Linked DNA regions of Cricetulus griseus. The protein of the gene in region 3 binds, or shares a complex with, the protein of the main gene of each other region. Links are inferred from orthologs where the notes say so. Each region holds a gene or a part of one and is shown on either strand. Other genes may lie near its edges.

Evidence for each region.
Region 1: Plk1 (region 3) and Spag5 share a complex: the UniProt entries of both Homo sapiens proteins name them as parts of the astrin (SPAG5)-kinastrin (SKAP) complex. The link is inferred for Cricetulus griseus from reciprocal best matches to the Homo sapiens genes PLK1 and SPAG5.
Region 2: Plk1 (region 3) and Knstrn share a complex: the UniProt entries of both Homo sapiens proteins name them as parts of the astrin (SPAG5)-kinastrin (SKAP) complex. The link is inferred for Cricetulus griseus from reciprocal best matches to the Homo sapiens genes PLK1 and KNSTRN.

Annotation. Positions count from the first base shown.
Region 1 is NC_048600.1:91,708,174-91,711,689, forward strand, and holds the end of Spag5 (sperm-associated antigen 5), read left to right. Parts: intron 1-710; coding exon 711-822; intron 823-1,286; coding exon 1,287-1,376; intron 1,377-1,599; coding exon 1,600-1,720; intron 1,721-1,810; coding exon 1,811-1,922; intron 1,923-2,306; coding exon 2,307-2,387; intron 2,388-2,491; coding exon 2,492-2,647; intron 2,648-2,727; coding exon 2,728-2,802; intron 2,803-2,912; coding exon 2,913-2,993; intron 2,994-3,175; coding exon 3,176-3,247; 3' UTR 3,248-3,462; downstream 3,463-3,516. UniProt on the Homo sapiens protein: Essential component of the mitotic spindle required for normal chromosome segregation and progression into anaphase. Required for chromosome alignment, normal timing of sister chromatid segregation, and maintenance of spindle pole architecture.
Region 2 is NC_048599.1:59,661,544-59,665,059, reverse strand, and holds the end of Knstrn (small kinetochore-associated protein), read left to right. Parts: intron 1-1,644; coding exon 1,645-1,776; 3' UTR 1,777-3,384; downstream 3,385-3,516. UniProt on the Homo sapiens protein: Essential component of the mitotic spindle required for faithful chromosome segregation and progression into anaphase.
Region 3 is NC_048596.1:78,505,932-78,509,913, forward strand, and holds the start of Plk1 (serine/threonine-protein kinase PLK1), read right to left. Parts: upstream 2,817-3,982; 5' UTR 2,727-2,816; coding exon 2,325-2,726; intron 1,580-2,324; coding exon 1,411-1,579; intron 782-1,410; coding exon 637-781; intron 1-636. UniProt on the Homo sapiens protein: Serine/threonine-protein kinase that performs several important functions throughout M phase of the cell cycle, including the regulation of centrosome maturation and spindle assembly, the removal of cohesins from chromosome arms, the inactivation of anaphase-promoting complex/cyclosome (APC/C) inhibitors, and the regulation of mitotic exit and cytokinesis.

The DNA.
Region 1 (3,516 bases), on a different chromosome or scaffold from region 3:
AGGCCCAGTAAGTAAGCTAGGAAGTACCTGTTATGTTTGAACGGAAAGGATGCCAGGCCTGGAGAGACAGTTAAGAGTACATACTTTTCTTGCAGAGAACTAGAGTTCAGTTTTCAGCACCCACAACTGGCAGCTCACAACTTCCTGTAACTTCAAGGGATCTGACATCCCTGTCCTCACTCATGCAGACACATATACATATACATACGTTAATAATAATAAAAATATTTTTTAAAAAAGAAGGTAAGGGCCAGGCGGTGGTGGTGCACACCTTTAATCCTAGCACTAGGGAGGCAGAGGCAGGCGGATCTCTGAGTTCAAGACCAGCATGGTATACAAAGAGAGTTCCAGGACAGACTCCAAAGCTACACAGAGAAACTCTGTCTTGATAAACTAGCAAAAAAAAAATGTGTGCTAATCACAAAAATTTTGGTTGTCAAGTCATAGGTAGAATTAAATATAAGAAAAAGGACAGTAGTAGCTAAAGGATTTAAGGTTTTGTTTTTTCATTTTAAATGAAAAATGTTGTTTTAGTGGGAGAGACTTAAGCACATCGCATGTTTGGGGAAAGGCAGTAGTGGGAAGCTGGGGTAGGACCAGAAGGTAGAGTGGAAGCTCACTCTGGGTGTGGCCCAGGAAAGGTGGCCCAGGACGTCACCCTCAAGTGCGGCTGAGCAGCTGATTATGTTATTTTTCTCCTTTGCCCTCAGGCTGAATCAGAGATCATTCTGCCCAGCACAGGTTGTGCTCCAGCCCAGGAACACCTTCTGCCTGATGATAGCACTGCTTCAGAAAAGGCCCTGACAGCAGTGGCAGATGAAGGTTAAAGACCTTGGGGTTTAAGGAGGGTGGCACAGATGCACACCACTAGGCTTGTCTGTCGTACCCCACTTCCACTGCTTCAGTCCCCTGGTTGGGCCACCAGAGAGACCTTCTCTATGCTTCATTTTTTTTTTTTTAAGATTTTATTTATTTATTTATTTATTATGTATACAACATTCTGCTTCCATGTATATCTGCACACCAGAAGAGGGCACCAGGTCTCATGACAGATGGTTGTGAGCCACCATGTGGTTGCTGGGAATTGAACTCAGGACCTCTGGAAGAGCAGTCAGTGCTCTTAACGTCTGAGCCATCTCTCCAGCCCCTATGCTTCACTTTTTTAAATTTTGTTTATTTGTTTGTTTGTTCATGTTCGATTGTTTTCCAGAGACGTGGTCTCATGTAGTTCACCATGGCCTTGAATTTCTAAGTTGATGAACATACATGGTTTATTTTTGCTTTAGAGCCAGAACCAGTTCCCGTCGTGCCATTGCTTGGAAGTGATAAGAGTGCTTTCACCCGAGTAGCATCAACGATTTCCTTTCAGCCTACAGGTTAGGATGGGCTCCAGGGACCACGAGCAAAGACAAAAGCAGAGAGAAGTACTTTGCTCTAAAAACCTCGATTCTACTTGGGCTTGTTTTATTCCTGTCTTTTGGGATCTGTGATGTTCCGGATATTACAGTCTTGTGGGTGGGGAACAAAACGTGGAAATGTGGTTGTGTAGCCCATCCTAGGCAGAAGGGCTGTATTTCTATCTAGGACTTCCTCTTTCAGAGACCCCAGGACTGGAGAAGAGCTCATCAGAAATGAGTACTATGTTACTAGAGCTTCAGAGCCTGTGTTCTCTGCTGCAGGAGTCTAAAGAAGAAGCCATTGGGGCCCTGCAGAGAAAAATGTGAGAGGTGTTGATGATAGGGGGTGATGAGAGCGCCCCTCATGCCAAGGGCTGAGTACAGGAATGATGCCGACTTCTTCCCTCCCATAGCTGTGAATTGCAGACTAGACTGCAGGACCAAGAGGAAGAGCATCAGGAAGCCCTGAAGGCAAAGGAGGCAGACATAGAGAAGCTGAACCAGGCCTTGTGCTTATGCTATAAGGTGAAGGAGGGACCTTAAAGTGGGGCGATGAAGAACTGGGGCGGCTCCACCAGCCCACTGGGAACCACTCTCTAGGAATCTAGGTAGTGGGGGTTTTCCAACTGCTGCCCTAGTTTTGCCCTTTTGGGGTCAGACATTTGATATCTGAGACTTTGCTCTGGGCCGACCTGTCACATTCAAGCAGACCCAGGAGAGAAGCCTAGAACTGAAGCAGAGCTCTGAACCAAGATATGCCATACTTGACTTGGCCCTGAAGAAAAATTGGACTGATATGAACTAATCCCCAAGGCTGAGCACAGCGAAGGCATTCTGTCCTGCCTTCTGGCAAGGGCTGCAAAAGTTAGCCTTTCCTCAGAGCTTTCTCTCCTCTTTTTTTCTTCACAGAATGAAAAGGAGCTCCAGGAAGTGATACAGAAGCAGAACGAGAAGATCTTAGGGCAGATAGACAAGAGTGGTGAGCTCATAGTAAGTTCCTAGTGATGTTGTGAGGCCTCTGCTTCTCCCACCTGATGGAGTAAAGAGAGAAAGGACCCCCGAGTGCTGTTGGATTACTCTGCTCTTGTTCCCAGAGTCTCAAGGAGGAGGTGACCCAGCTCACACGTTTACTGCGGCATGCAGAGACAGAGACGAAAGTGCTCCAGGAAGCTCTGGAGGGCCAGCTAGACCCCAGCTGTCAGCTGATGGCTACTAACTGGATCCAGGAAAAAGTCTCTCTCTCACAGGAGGTAACTCAAGTTAACCAAGGATCTGGGCACCTACTGGGGACCCCAGGCTGTGCCCCTATTAATGTGGACATATTTATAAGGTGGACAAGCTGAGGGCCATGTTCCTGGAGATGAAAAACGAGAAAGCAAAACTGGTGATCAAGTATCAGAGCCATGTAAGGAATTGTTTTCTTCCACCACAAGCAAGCACCCTGCCATGTTGCCCGTGTCTTCTCTAGCTATGGTCTTTTAAGTATAGGGCTTATGAAGCCTGTTTGTATTTTAGAGGAACATTCTTGAGGAGAACCTTCGGCGCTCTGACACTGAGTTAAAGAAACTGGATGACACTATCCAGTATATCTACGAGGTAAAAGTGAGGGAGGTACCAGGACCTGGCCGCAGAGAACTGAGGGGCTCAGCTCTGGTTCTCAGCCTGTGCTGGGAGCTAGGCCTGTCCTCTGCCAGTAGGTCTCCCTCCTCTAGCCTCACGGGCCAGGAGCTTTGGCTTCAGCCTTGTGATTCAGAGCTGTTTTCTCTGCCTCTTTCCAGACTCTGCTGTCTGTCCCAGAGGTAGTGAAGAGTTGCAAAGAACTACAAAGATTGCTGGAGTTTCTGAGCTAAGAAACTGAAAATATTGCACCTGCAGTTCCAGCTACTCCGGAGGCAGAGGCAGGAGGATTGCTTACTCCAAGAGTTTGAGACTAGAGTGGACAGCACGGCAAAGAAACTGAAGGCTGGATTCCACTTCATTCCCTTCAGGATCCCTTACCCCAGTAATAGGAATTGGCATATAGCCAACTGTTTTTATGTTATTTAAATAAAGTATATTTAATGTAGTTCTTACATCCACTGGATCTTATTTTGGGGGTAGGAGTGGGCAGATGAAATCA
Region 2 (3,516 bases), on a different chromosome or scaffold from region 3:
TTTTTTTAACCTGGAACTAGCTCTTGTAAACCAGGCTGGTCTCAAACTCAGAGATCCACCTGCCTCTGCCTCCCCAGTGCTGGGATTAAAGGTGTGCACCACCACCACCCGGCGGCTTTTTTTTTGTTTTTAACATTTATTTTTATTCATGAGTATGTGTCACTGTGAATTATGTCATGTATGTACAGGTACCAATGGAAGACATGAGAGGGCTTCAGATCCCCTGGAACTAGAGTTATAGGCAATTGTGAGCTGACTAACATGGATACTAAAAACTGAATTCTAGTTGTCTGGAAGAGCGGTGATACTTAACTGCAGAGACATCTCCAGTTCCCTCTGCCTTTATATTATTTGTTATGTGTGAGTGTGTGTATAGTATGTATGTATAAATGTTTGTGGGTCCATACATGCCACAGCATATGGGACTCAAACTCAGGTCCTCAGGCTTGGTGGCAAGTACCTTTACCCACTGAGCTATTTCATCTGTCCCCATGATTGGCTCCTAGTTTGTTTTTAATACACTATTTTTAAGCCATGTTGGGGTGTTGAACACCTTTAATCCCAGCACTTGGGAGACAGAGGCCAGCCTTGTCTACAGAGCTAGTTCCAAAACAGCTAGAGCTGTTACACAGAGAAACCCTGACTCTAAAAACCAAACCAAGCAAAAACCCATTTTCTAAATAATTTTAGATGTATAGAAAAGTTGCATAGCTCCCCTAAGGATAACACCTCACAAATCCTCACACATTTGTCACCAGTAAGAAACCAATACTGGTGTGTCATTGTTAACTAAATTCCTGGAGTTTTTACTGAATCAGTTTCTGTTTTGGATGCTTTTCCTCTGCAAGTTTTTCTTTTTATGTTCCTGAGGATCCAGAAATGTTCCCAGGGATAAAGCTGGTGCGGAGAGGGGGGAAATCCATACCTCCAGTGGTCCACACAGTAGGCTGCTCAAAGTTGAGACTATGTGAAATCCATGCTAGAAAGCTTATGTCAAGATGTAAAGAGACCTGAGCAAAACATCCGGATTCCAGGGCGAGAGGGACAGCTCACAGTTGAGAGTGCCTGCTGCTCCTGCAGTGGTCCCAGGTTCTGCTTCCCAGAGCTCATAACTCCATAGCTCCAACTCTAGGGATCTGATGCCCTTTTCTCCTCTCTACAGGCATCCAAAGCATTCACGCGAGTGCACACACACACACATACACACACACACACAGGCAGACACAGATGCACACAGACAGACATAGACATACAGACACACATACACACACACAGACAGACACACACACACAGAAAAATAATAAGAAGCCAGGCATGGTAGCACACACCTTTTATCATAGGGGGTAGGAGGATCTCTGTAAGGCTAGTCTACATGGTGAGACCCTGTTTTAAAAATAAACTGGGCCTGGGTGGCTTTAGGTTGCCTAGAGAAACCATGGGGCAGGAGACACAGGATTTCAATACTCCAGTTTAAACACAGGAGTGAAAAAATTGCCCAAGTAATTCCCAAGGTAGGGAATTGGATGTCTGGCACTGGCTGGTCTTGCTCTCTGCCGCACAGATGTGACACTCTGGTCCAAGTGCTATCCTTCTGTGAGGCCAGAGTTTTGTTGTGGGTTTCCTTTGGAATGCCTTCCCTTTCAGGCCTTGAAGGTGAAGTTGAAGTTGAAAGAAGAAGAAAGGCTCCAGTTCCTGGAGCAGCAAAACGGATGTAAGGACCAAGCCAGTGACTTCACAGTAGTCCTGGAGGAAATGGAGCAGCTTTTAGAGATGTAATACAAGGCAGTGTGGCCAGACGGCTTCTTCCTGGGGCAAACTCCCAGAGGAAGCCCCTTAGGGTATCCTCAAGGACTCACCATCCCTTATGCACTGTAGCAGTTAATCTTACTTAGGGTAGTTGATGTGGAACGGGGTTCCTCCTTAAGCAGACTGCCCACCTTCAGACTGCTCAGCTCACCTGGCCTCACAAGGTGCTTGCTCATGGAGACCTGCAAGAGAGGGACCTAGAAGCTTGACTCCACCACCTGCGCAACAAAGCACCAACCCTCAGAGCCTGGATGCTAACCCAGCCAGCCACCTTGGAGAATCCAGAGGCTCTTATGCAGAAATGTGGGAGGAAAGCCTTCATACAACAGTGCATATACTTACTGTACAGGAGATGTCACTGAGAACCATGCTGTCCCCTTCTTTGTCCACCCGGTTAAGCTAAATTCATGAACTTGAAATTCTTGAAGTTTTTTTGGCTTAATAAACGGGGTGGAGGTATATATAACACCTACCTGCAACAAATAGCACTTGGAGCTTTTAAGTACTGCTTTTGAAATAAATACATATGTGAATTTTCATATTCTGATTAGCACTGAGGAATGAAATAGCTTTTTAGCCCAGTGTGGTGGCTCATGTCTATAATCAGGACTTGGGAATCTGAGGCAGGAGAATTGCCTTGAATTAGAGACTAGCCAAGGCTTCAGAGATCCTATCTCAAAAAAGGAGGAAAAGGGAGGGAGGAAGGATTAATTAGCACTTCAGTCTAGATAGATGAGTCGAGCATACTGGGTAAGTTCAAGGCTTCCTGACTTCTGTGGTGTATTTTTCCCTCCACCTGTTACTTGCTTGTAACAAGCCCCCTTGCCGTCCAGGTCACTGGTTCTTCTGCACTGTGGGCCATGTCCTATTCACCATGTTTATGGCCAGCTGCTGTCTCTGTTGCCTGTATGTCTGCAGTTTATCTATCACAGCCAACCCAGAACCTCATCCCACAGGCCCTATGGTCTCTGTGGTTTATGGCCTGGCACCCATGGTAGCCTCCCACTTGGGGTCACCAAAAGTGCTACCATGTTTCCTTTCTTAATTGAAATATTCCAGCTTTTGCTTTGGCTATCTCCCCTTGGTTTTGTGCCTTCCACCAAACCTGCCTAATATATCCTTCTAAATCACTAAGACTGCCCAGAGTCCCCTAACCCAGTGAAGCCAAGTCATACCCCATACTTATTTTCTTTCTTTTTCAAATGTATAAAATGGCTTATAATGTAAAGGCACAAATAAGGACCATCACACAGTAGATAAAGCAACGCACCTTCACCATATGCAAGGTGGGACTCCAGGAGGGGTGGCTATAGAGGAATGCATTCTGGGTTCCTTTGTGATGCACGATCCTTCCAAGACTCTGGTGAAGTCCTGAATGGTATGCAGAGTTCAGATGAGGGGTGGACAGCCATGCAGTCTCACAGGAGTATGCTCTGCTCATGCATGCAGGAGACCAAAGGACACTCACCAGCAACAGGATCCACTATGGGAGCGTGTGACCCACACCATCACTTTGAGATAGCTGCCTTACTATCATATGCCATTCTTGTATCTATAAAAACTAATACTGAACAATGAGTTCTGGGTTGCAAAAGAGTGCTTTTGTTTTTTGTTTTGTTTTTTTAACCTGTCTTCCATGCCTTTTTCCACCAGCGGAACAAAAGCACACACACACACACACACACACACACACACACACACACACACACA
Region 3 (3,982 bases):
TCCAAATGCAGAAGTCATTGTCTAGAGGAAGGGAGCTGGGCTGGATTCACTGACTCAGAACGGATGAGGCTGATCTCCAAGTCTGCTCAGTCTCATAGAAGCCAATGGCTGGGATAAGCCCTCAGAAGAATGCAGGTGACAACACTGAATACCAAGCGCTAGAGATTCCCCAGCTCTGGCCTGCAGTAATAGAGGACTCCTCAAGAACCGCAGAGGCCACTGCTATCTGCCACAGGCACAAGCACCATGATGGAGCTTCTGCCTACCATGAACCTTTCTGCTGATCTGATTCTCCCATCAGCACTCATCAGTGTTTCCAAAGCTTTACTGAAAGTCAGCCAGGGATTTTATTAGACCCAGGTCCAGAACTGAGATTTCCACATCCTAACAAACCCTCAGAGGTATTGATGGTTTGGGTTAGTGCATGCTTTTAGTAAGCAGCAAGGAGCTGGAGGAAGAAGTGTAGACACATTTGGTCCCTTCCCTGGACCATAAGTCCAAGCTACAGGAATGCTATAGATTGATAAATAAGGAAAAGGGGCTTCATGTGGGATCCAGAGGGAAAGGTCAACTGGATGAAATGCCTCAGAAAATCCTGTTGAGACCCAATAGCTCCTGAGTCCATTCCCAACTTACATGATACACCCAATGGACCACACATCCACCTCAAAACTGTGTCCCTTCTTGCTCAGCACCTCGGGAGCTATGTAGTTAGGAGTGCCACATAAGGTCTTCTTTCGTTCACCTTCATATTCCACTTTGGTTGCCAGCCCAAAGTCCCCTGGGACAGAGGGAAGAAGAGAGGTGATTAGCTGCTAGGCCATCTTGTGGCTGCAGACAACTGCCTCAGGACTGACCATAGAGAGCCAGTGCCTCAAGACTCCAGTCTCTGTTCCCGAACCTTCCCACTGCCCTTTACACTCCTCTTTAGATAGCAGGGCTAGGGAAGTAAGATGGCTCAGTAGGTACAGGTGCTTGCCGCTAAGACTAACAACTTGAGTTGACCCTGGAACCCACAATGGAAGAACAGAACTGACTCCAGAAAGTTACCTTCTATCTCGAACCCCACATATATGAAATTTAAAATACATAGGATAGCAGAATTGGATGCACTAGGGAATCAAGTAAATATTCTTTGTGACTGTGACAAGTTTAAGAAAAGTGACAGGAGTATAGGGACTGAGGCAAATCAGAGTCTCAAGGGAAAAGGTGCTTTTCAGCTCAGTAAAGGGACAGCAAAACACTGGCCTGTGGGACACTTACTTTCCATTTCTGGACAAGAAGGCTTTCTGGAGGGCAGCACCTCCATTTCCCACCCACCTTCCACTTCTCTGGCTCCCATTCTCCCAGAGTTCCCCTCCTTGCCACCTCTTGTACTGGCACCAGACACCCGCAGGCCCAGCACCTCACCTATTTTCACCTCCAGATCCTCGTTCAGGAAGAGGTTGCCTAGCTTGAGGTCCCTGTGAATGACCTGATTTCGGTGCAGATACTGGCAGCCCAGGACTATCTGACGTAGATAGTAGCGTGCCTCGGGCTCGGTCAGCGCTTTCCTCCTCTTGTGCAGTTCCAGGAGAGACTGAGGAAGAGGGAAGAAGGTAGTTAAGCCCAAGGAAAAGGGTGGCCAGCTGGATGTGGCCAAGATTAAACCCTCGGGAGTAAAGTATAGACGGAAGTTTCCTATCCCGACCAGCCGATTCCAAATAACTACTCTGAGGCTTATATTAATTATAAATGCTCGGCCTATAGTACAGGCTTAGCTAACTCTTCCACTTATTAACCCATAATTCTTATGTCTTGGCAGGCTCCTAATGGTTCTGTCCATACACTGGTCAGGCCATTATCATTCACAGGACCCCTCTCCTGTTAACGAGTACCCTTACCCAGCGTCTTCTCTCAACCCCTTATTTAGGGGCTTCCTCCCAGCAGGAGACCCTCTCCTTTTCCTGAAAGCTGAGGTCTGACTCCAGACAGCCTCTCCTCCCTCCCCCACTCCAGACCCTGCCCCACTCCACTCCGGAAGTTCTAGGTCCGCGGCAGCCGTAGCTTGGGACCCTTGTTAATCACTTTAAACACCCATTTCCTGCACCTACTGGCAGTCTTGCGTGCAGGAGCCACCTTCCCTAATAATAGCAACAGGTCCCGGGTTCCGCTTGCCCTCAACCCCCGGCCTCAGCAGCTCGGAATGCCAAACACCCTCACCAGGAGCCCCTTCATAATTGCTTGAAACCCAAGCACTCCTCTAGGCCACTCCAAGGCGTCGATGCCTCTTTGCCAGCAAGTTCCCGGTGTGGTCGCCCCAACACCACAGCAGAAACACTCACCCTCCTGCGACAGAGCTCCAAAACCACAAACACAAAGTCGCTGTCCTCAAAAAAGCCGTGGAAGCCTACGACGTGTTGGTGTGCGAGGCTGCGGTGGATAGAAATCTCCATAGACATCTTTTCCTTTTGGTGGGGCTTGAGAAGTAAAGACTTCGGCACGATCTTGCCTGCGAACACCTCCTTTGTGTCTGCATCCGAGATCTCGAAGCATTTGGCAAATCCTCCTTTACCCAGAAAGCGGCCCCGCACATACTGGCGCCGGCTGCGTGGGTCCACTAAGACCTCAGGAATCTCTTTCGACAGCGGGGCGGTCACTGGGGCACCGGTAGCTGCATCTCCAGGAACCCCAGCTTTCCCGAGATCGGCTGGTGCTCGAGCCAGCTTTTTGGCCGCTGCATTCATGCTCCTAAATTTGCTACGCGAACCTGGCCGGGCCGGTGCAGAGATCTTGCCCTGCTCCGCTCCTCCCCGAATTCAAACGCAGCGCTGGGAACGTTACAAGGACCTGCGCGTTGTTGATTGGCCGCGGGGATTTAAAATACAAACCCGCCCAGCGCGCGGCACCATGGGAGTGCTCTACGGCGCAGCCGCTTTTAAACCCCCGATCTTGTGAGGAGAAACTTGATGGGCTGGGACTTAAGGATTAAATGCACGTGGGATACCCTGGGAAACTAGGAGCGGATGGAATACGCGGAAATACCCAGGGGACAGAATTCGGTCCGGCTTTCTGCTCCTCGGCCAGAGAATGCTCCTGTGGTTCATGCCCCTCCTCCAGAGGCTTCTCCAGTTAGGACCTAACTAACACCTTCCTCCACTCCTCCTGGCCTTCTAGATCTGAAACTCCAGGCCTAGAGGTAGCTTGGCAGTGCACCGCCTTCGCCCTCGACTGCCGTCTCCCTGGCTAGTCTATATAAACCCAAACCTGAACAAACCCAGCATGTCTGGCAGGCAAAAGGAAGCTCTGTGGCAACCACTCCCGGAGCCCGAATTGAAAGGAGCTCTAGACTTCTCCAGTAAAACCCAGGGGTCAGCAGTATCTGCAACACCCAGGAACTCCTTAAGAAGGAGCGTGGGTTCAAGATTGCAAGTTAGCCTAAGGCCAGCCTCAGCTACCAGGCAACATTCCTTCCCCCCTACCCTCGAAGGAAAGAAACCGCCCAGGTCTGACCTGCAGGTCAAACAAGACTGTCAGGTGATTCCTACACAAGGTGATCCTAGAACTCGGGAGGCAGAGGCAGGCAGATCTCTGTGAGTTTGAGATCAGCCTAGTCTACAAGAGATAGTTCCAGGACAGTCTCCAAAGCCACAGAGAAACCCTGTCTCGAAAAACCCAAAAAAGAAAAGAAAAAAAGAAAAGCATCAGCTCTCTCCCCCCTCTCGCTGCGTTTGAATTCGGGGAGGAGAGGAGCAGAGCAAGATCTCTGCACCGGCCCGGCCAGGTTCGCGGAGCAAATTTAGGAGCATGAATGCAAGGTTACCTGGCTTGTCCTAAGTTGCTCCAAATAGAGAAAACTAGTTTTTTTAGTCAGAGGGAGGGATGGCTGGTTGGAGAGTGCTAGCAAAGTAGCAGGGCCAAATCTGCCCAGCAGGGGTGTTTGTTGGCCTTCATTTAAAAAAAAAAAAAAAAAAATTTACAACACTTAAAAGGAATGGCCACA